2 linked regions of the Sus scrofa genome follow. The protein of the gene in region 1 purifies or fractionates together with the protein of each later gene. This does not show direct contact. Links are inferred from orthologs where the notes say so. Each region holds a gene or a part of one and is shown on either strand. Other genes may lie near its edges. The genes, in order: DHX38 and PPP4R3A.

Region 1 (4,265 bases):
CTGTAGCCACATGCATATTTGGTGCGTTGACCTCTTCTCCAGGACCAAAATTCCTTTAATTACCTCTTAACCAAGACCTGTCCATCAAGTCACTGACAATCTCAAAAGATCTTCCTAATCCCACCCCAACACACATCCGAAATAGATACTTGCACGCACACACAGACACACCTGGATCCAAGAGGGCAGCATCCAGGCAAGAACAGACCTCACTAAGAGATACTTACTAGAGCATGGTGGTATCTCAAAAGGGAGTATAAGGATAACACCACTAGATTTAACATCAGAAATCTCTACTATCCAGGCCCTTGACATTTTCTGCCTGTGTGATTGTAAGCAAATAACTTAACTTTCAGTTAGGCATAATTTCCTCCCCCACTTATGGGGGGGAGAGCCCCATGGGATATGGAGTTCCCAGGCCAGGATCGACTCCAAGCCAGAGTCATAAATTACTCCACAGCTGCAGCAACGCCAGATCCTTAACTCACTGTGATGGGCCAGGGATCCAACCTGCTCCCCTGCCACTGCAGATCCCACTGCACCAAAGCATGAACTCCTAGGCATAACTTCTATATCTGCAAAGTGAAAATACTTTTTGCTCTATCTGATCCTTGGAGTTGTTGTGAGAATCAAACAAGAAAGTTTAGTAAAAGCACTCTGTAACCATAAAGAGTTACAGAAATGTGGCTGTTACATTATTTCACTTGCTGTGCTCCTAGACACTGATTGGATCCCTCATCGTTTTTTCTACGTAAGTTCTTCCTCCTCTCCCTTCTTTTAAACTACAGCTACAGCGGAGCAGAGATGTTGATAAGGCTACTATCCATGCAGTCTATACTTAAACGCATTTTCTGGGCCAGGTAAGTTCAGTAGAAAAGAATTACCTCACGGCAGTTGAAATCTGTCTAATGACAATTCATGTTCTCCAAAAATGTTGATGAGAAGCATCAGGCTTGGGAATGGTACTTCTGAAAAAGTATTTAGGTAACTGTAAGATTTCCTGGCACTCAACTTGTAACAAACTCCTCTTTTTCTTCCCACTATACACCATCTACTTATAAATATTCTGAATGCTTGACTAACTTCCCTCATTCCAACAAGTCAGTGAAGCAAAGAACTATCAAGTGCTAGGGTACCACCAGAATCCAGACTGTTGTGCCCAGCTTTAATTAACATGCAGAGCTTTCTAGAAGAATATTGCCAAACAGACAACACATAGTATGGTCAAAGAAACAAGAATTTCCTTTTTTAAAAATGCCATTAGGGGAGTTCCCGTCGTGGCGCAGTGGTTAACGAATCCGACTAGGAACCATGAGGTTGCGGGTTCGATCCCTGCCCTTGCTCAGTGGGTTAACGATCCGGCGTTGCCGTGAGCTGTGGTGTAGGTTGCAGATGCGGCTCAGATCCCGCGTTGCTGTGGCCCTGTCGTAGGCCGGTGGCTACAGCTCCGATTGGACCCCTAGCCTGGGAACTTCCATATGCCGCGGGAGCGGCCCAAGAAATAGCAACAACAACAACAACAAAAAGACAAAAAGACAAAAAAAATTTTAAAAAAAATGCCATTAGGTAGAAGGGAAAAGGGAAAGCTACCTACTGGTGATATCTGTACTCATGTGAGCAAATCCAGGAAGGTAGGACATACAGACTCTGCTCAGTAGTCTGAACTAGAAAAAATACCCCTAGTATGTCATTTTATGCAGGAGAACCTTGTCTGTCTTAATGACTACTACGCCCAGTGCCTACAACAGAACCATGTGAAGAATTAATGAATGAACAAGTTTAAACTGATTAAAGGAGATAGGGAGCCAGAAATTCCTAAAGACAGCAAGGACAGGTACTAGGAGCACAGGAAAAAGAGTTTGACAGGACAACGAGTGGCTGAGGAGTTAACTGCTGTTTTGCGAATAAGTATTAATGGTAAAGAAGCCACAAGAGGTATAAGGAAAATAGTGAAGAAAGAAACTGAATATATTCATTCAATAATTATTCACTGACAGCTTTCTGTGAGCCAGTCGTTGTTCTGGGCATTAGAGATAGAGAAGAGAAGAGACAAAAGTCCAGACCTTCTTGGAGTTGACATTCTAGCAGAGGATATCGCCTGATAGAGATACCACTGTGACAGAGAAGAGGAAGCCCAAAGAACCCCTACTGGGTTCGGAGTCCGTCTGGGAGTGGGCTAATGCGGAGGCCTAAGGAAGGGAGCAGGTGACGCCCAGGGCAGCATCCCTGGACCTCAGCGGGGACGCACCAAAATGCAGGATCTGATCAGAATAAAGAGGAAGGCCGCGGCAGGCTGTCCTGCGCAATATCCCTACAGCGAATAAGGCACACTGGCTGACAAAGACAAGGATTCCCAAGTCTAGGCCCAAACCCGAAAGAGGGACCAATATCCGCTGCCTGGAGCCACCACGACTGGGTAAGAAAAGGTCGGAAAGGAAGAAGGGACACTCACCTCACCACGCCCGACTCTCGAGACCTTCTGTCCCGGATTCTGGGGCGCTGGCGCAGCCACTCCTCGCTCAGAACGTCTCAGAAAGCCAAAACCCGCACCTTGAAAGCGGCCATCGTTGTCCCATAATACTTTGCGCGGTCCCCTCTATCCGTCCAAAGATACCATCGAGATCAGCCCGGAAAACGCGAGTTCCTAGTGCGGGGCGGAAGGGGACCACGCTTGTTGGACTAGACGGTCCTCCGCTGAGGCTGGGATAAGACATTTATTACAGACACTTCCGAGTCTCTTGGCGACCAATCACGGTTAGTCTAAGAGTTGGGCAGCCCCCTAATTGGAATGCGGGGTGGGATCGGCCATGTTTAACAAGGGCGGAAGTGACCCTAAGGCTTCCGGTCGCAGCGGGGAAGATTGGCCGTGAGTAGAATAGGCCCTTCCGCTTATTGGGCTGCTGAACTGAACAGACCGCGCGTTAATCACTGCGTTTGTGCGTTTTCTTTTTCCGTTTCCGTCCACTTAAGAGGTCGGCCGAGAGTTATTTGGCAACAGCCCCTGGGTTACTCTGGTTTAGGGTCGCCGCCGCGGTTGCGGAAGAAGAAAGGAGTCGCCGGCGTCGCGGCTTTTTGGAGAAAGTGTCAGGGTTGCCGAAAGCCTTGAAGTGCTGGCGAGGAAGATGACGTGCAAATAAAGTATCATTTTTCCCCGGCACTTGTGGGCCAGGAGTAGTCCAGCCACTGGCATCATAAAAAATAGGTATGTCGGGGATATTGGAAAAATGAAGACGTGCACCCCAGTGTGAGTAAAAGTCACTCGTAAGTTCACACGCAGTGAAAACCACTGAGGGTGTTTGAGGATATTCATTTTTAGTTATTTCCTATGTGAATATGTATATTTGCATTATAGTTAGGTTTTGTACAAAAGCGGAATCACCCTTTGTATACTACTGTTTTATGACTTTTTTCTTTATTACGAGGATTTTTCACGTATCTGAATTGTTAATCTATAACGCAATATGTAGTGACAGTGTGTTAGTATGTTACAGGACTGCCATCCTTCATTTCACGATTCTCCTACCGATGGCAGTGTAAGTTGTTTCCAGTTTTTCACTGTTAAAAACGTGACAAATATCCTTTTTACATAAATCTTTCTGCGTATGTCTGGTTATTTACTAGGAAATAATTCTCAGAAATGGAGTTGTATTTCAGGTTTCTTTCTAGACAAGGTTTGTTCTCTGTTTTCTAGGGGGGACTATGAAGCCTGTCCCTTCACTGACATTCTTGCCTTTATCATTTAATCTTTGCCAGTTTAATGGCTTTTTAAAATATAACTTTTTTTTTTCTACTTTTTGTGGCCACACCCACAGCATATGGAAGTTCTCAGGGTAGGAGTCAAATCAGAGCTACAGCTGCTGGCCTACACCAGAGCTGACGCAAGGCCAGATTCCCCCCCACCCCACTGAGAGAGGCCAGGGATCAAATCCACATCCTCATGGATGCTAGTTGGATTCATTTCCGCTGTGCCACAGTGGGAACTCCTAAAATACATCTTTTAATTTGCTTTTCTTTACTTAGCAGTGAAACTTTCCAAATTTTTTTTTTTCTCGTCTGTCTTCTTTCTGAATTCCTTGTTTTTATCCTTTGCTATAGACATTTTCTTAGGTGTGGTCTCAATTTCCCTTTCCTTTTTTCAACATTTATTCAATTCCACTCTCACACCCTCACCTCCCCACTCACTCTGATGACAACTTTGCTCTCCTGCCATTTCCTCCTCTTTTTATCAGTAACACGCAGAAATTGCTGTTTGGTTGAATTCTAGT
Region 2 (3,821 bases), on another chromosome or scaffold:
TTTCTTTTACAGTTCTATTATCTCTGATTATAGCACATTCTCTTCTTTTTAGGGCTGCACCTGTGATATATAGAAGTTCCCAGGCTAGGGTTGAATTGGAACTGTAGCTGCCACCTTATGCCATAGCCACAGCAACACCATATCCAAGCTGCATCAGGGATCAAAGACACAGCCTCATGGATACTAGTTGGGTTCTTAACCACTGAGCCACAATGGGAACTCCTGATTATAGCACTTTTGAAAGAAATTTTACCTTGAAATTACCTCTTTTGAAAATATGTTACTAAACCTCTATATTAACACCAACCTTCTGAGTTTCAAAGTTTAAGAACAAAGAATTTAACTACCAACCTGTATTATCTTACCTTTGCTAGGTTTGTCTTCTGTTGTATTTGCCAGTAATGGAGCAGTAAGGACATGCATACAGTGCTTGTAGAAGAAACCCAGAAATTCAGTCTTTTCTGTTTTCTAAGGAATCAAAAACACTTCATGAACTTTAACTGCATTGGTTCCTACCAGCAATCAAAATTACACGAGTATGAAAAAGAGAAAAATGCCCACGGCTTACATTGGCAGTAGCTAGCATGTTTTCTGGGTCAACCAAGGTTCGAAGCAGGCCCATAAGTTGGACTGCTCCTCCAAGTTCAGGGTCTGTATCACAAATCATATGTTCTATAATGAGGTTGATGAGCAAAATATCCTGGTGGGAAAAATATACATAATAAGGATCACTTACTAAGAGTAAGGATGGAAAAAGCATATACTATGACACATGCTATAGCATTATACCTGGCTCTAGCTATCTTGTTAACTGCAAACAAAATGAAATGACTGACTGGAATCTTTAATAGGATATATGGTAGTTTCCCAAAGGTATGGTACAGACACATTACACAAATAGTACCAAAAAGTTCTTTTTTTATTATCTTTAAATCCCCTGGATTAAAATAAAAACAAAGTTTCAGTTTGGTGCTAATAGATCTTTTAGAACTCTTAATAATAAAATCTCTCTTCTGAAGAAAGCTAATGGGACTTTGCTTCATAGTTTTAACAGTACGATTATCTAGCTAGAATTTATAACACTGTTCTTTTACTGCATTTTTATAGATTCCTTCTATGGCAAATGATAACTTTATCTGTTCTCCTTTTACAGAAATGATATAAAGTTTCCATTTAAAATAAATGGTTTTCCCTATGGTTGGTCAGGCAGTAAAGAAAGCATCCTAAATACTTTCCAAAGGACTATGCTTCATCATTCTTGATAATTTTGAGACCTCTATCCCTAGCAAAGCCAATGCTTTCTTAGGGAAGTTATTCATAATTCCACATACAGAAGAACAATTTATTGATGAAATGGTTTTAAACATTATAACATAGCAAGTTAACTTCAGAGTTAAAAAACTTAATTTCAAAAATTTTAAAAGAAATTGAAATTGAGCATTAACAAATAACTGCTGTAAAACAATTTATAAACTCAGGAGCCAATTTAGGGGAAGAATAAGTCATGATATCATGGGTATACTTTTCTCAAACACTGACTAAATCTTTAAGAAATGAATAATAAATATAGTTATAGCTCCCCACGTATAAATACTTACTGTTAGTGAAGATAATATTTACCTTGTTGGTTATTTTTTGCTCTGTTAACTTCTTACTTACATCATCATTCTGTTGTGCCTCCTGCATGACAAACTCTCGTACCATGGATGGATTATATTCAACCAAGTATGAGAATATATCAGTAGCAGCACTTCGCACCTGTGTATCATCCATGCCCTGCAGGTAAAAAGCACTTATTTCTTCTATAATAATAAAAATATGGAACTTGCAGCTATATAAATCTAAACCCTAACAAATTATAAGAATATATTTCAATAAAAAGGAGAGGTCAAGGAAATTATGTTGTATGTAAAATTACTGTTCTATGGGATAAAGTTATACTTTCATTTTTTCCCGTTTATTTTTCTCCTCTAGCATTTTATATATTTATTGTCTTTTTGTCTTTCCTAGGGCGGCACCTGCGGCATACGGAGGTTCCCAGGCTAGGGGTCTAATCGGAGTTGTAGCCGCTGGTCTACACCACAGCCACAGCAACGTGGGATCCGAGCCACATCTGTGACCTACACCACAGCTCACGGCAATGCTGGATCCTTAGCCCACTGAGCAAGGCCAGGGACTGAACCCACAACCTCATGGTTCCTAGTCGGATTTGTTAACCACTGAACCATGACGGGAACTCCAGCATTTTAATATGATGCAAAGTTAAATTGTTAAAAATATGGAAAATTCCGTAATTGTCCTTTTAGCACTGTGTAAGGACTCTCTTAATACTAGAATTTTATAGCTATTTAACTTTATGTAATACACAGCTGATGTTAAATATTAGCTATAATCAAACAGTTGCATGTTACATAAAAATATACTATTTTGTGGGTTAAAAATATAATGGTAATTAAATATAAGGAGAAACAAACTTACAAGGATGACTTCTAAAGCTGGTAATATACCCATGTTTGACAAAGTCTTGAAAAAAGCATCTCTGTTTTGAGGTTGTAGCGTTTGGGAAAACGCACAAAATTCTTTTAAAAAGTTAACCTGAAATTAGGAAAAAGGTTAAGTGAACATAATAGGTTGTATTGTTTTAGCTTCATGGCCTTTATAATATCAAATTTCTTACCAATTCCTGTCTTTTTTCCTCATCTGTTGCTTCATCTGTTAATTGTGCAAACAAATCTGTCAGAAATTTTTCATCTTCCTGTGAAATCAAAGGATAGATTTTAATTATGCTAATAATAGTAAGAGTATATAATAAAATACATTTTCAAGATGTTACTGTAGAAGATATAAATTGCAATAACTGGAAAAGGGAAAGATGGTATTGGCAATGCTGTTTTTTAAAAGAGAAGGAAAAAATTATTAAAGGATAAACTGGGGATTTATACAGAAAGATTATACTTTATATTTCAGCAAGGCTCTATTTCCTAAGGTAGTTAAGGGCCACATTTAAAAAATTTTGGGCTTTGTGGGCCATATGGTCTCTACCACAACTACTCTGTTATGTTGTTACAGTAGGAAGCAGACACAGGCAATATGGCAATGAATGAGTATTACTTTATGAAAGAAAACAAACACGGTTGGTAGACCCCTCATTTTCACTGGGCTTCTGCAACCTCTCAAAGGAAGATAAAACTTCCTTCACATTTTAAAAACAGCAATAGTTAAAAAGCTAAATTCAGAACTTTGGAATTAAGAAACATCTATTATTTAAAGATACACACACAAAACAAATACAAAATAACTTAACACGTATTATTCTACATTAAACCATTTCTGACTTCCTGTTCAATTTTGTCTATAACTATTTTTAATTAAGATTTTATTATATTTTAATTCCATACTACTTCAGCCTTACAGACATGCCGCCGAAGTCTAAATATGTGTATGTGTGTGTGAGACCTTCCACGGATTTATAAACCCCACATTCGCTGCCGTGGGTGTTTAAGAAACATTTTCTGTGATGCTAGTGATTCCCACTTTTACTTTTCTATGGCCTAATGTACAAATAGGCCATACCTTAAATGTCATCTCCAATGTCAAGATCCAGCTAAAATATATCCCACCAAATGGAAATCAAATGACTAAAAATGATTCTCCAGACTGCCACAAAGTTTAGAGAATCAAGACTGTTTTAACAGTGTTACATAGAAATCAGTCAAGGGCAAGGGTTATGACTGTGTATAAGATGGGTTAAGAACTGCTTCTCATCAAAGAAATTTGTAAACTCTCCTTCTTTCACAGTATTTTGAATATAAACACTCTGC

What was found.
Region 2: the proteins of DHX38 (region 1) and PPP4R3A purify together in Homo sapiens (co-immunoprecipitation; 3 studies listed by BioGRID and IntAct, with this or other methods). This does not show direct contact. The link is inferred for Sus scrofa from reciprocal best matches to the Homo sapiens genes DHX38 and PPP4R3A.

The regions. Positions count from the first base shown.
Region 1 is NC_010448.4:14,996,645-15,000,909, reverse strand, and holds the start of DHX38 (pre-mRNA-splicing factor ATP-dependent RNA helicase PRP16), read right to left. Parts: upstream 2,820-4,265; 5' UTR 2,453-2,819; intron 969-2,452; exon of another isoform or gene 885-968; intron 1-884. UniProt on the Homo sapiens protein: Probable ATP-binding RNA helicase. Involved in pre-mRNA splicing as component of the spliceosome.
Region 2 is NC_010449.5:113,124,107-113,127,927, forward strand, and holds part of PPP4R3A (serine/threonine-protein phosphatase 4 regulatory subunit 3A), read right to left. Parts: intron 2,756-3,821; coding exon 2,678-2,755; intron 2,596-2,677; coding exon 2,479-2,595; intron 1,777-2,478; coding exon 1,621-1,776; intron 701-1,620; coding exon 569-700; intron 469-568; coding exon 366-468; intron 1-365. UniProt on the Homo sapiens protein: Regulatory subunit of serine/threonine-protein phosphatase 4. May regulate the activity of PPP4C at centrosomal microtubule organizing centers.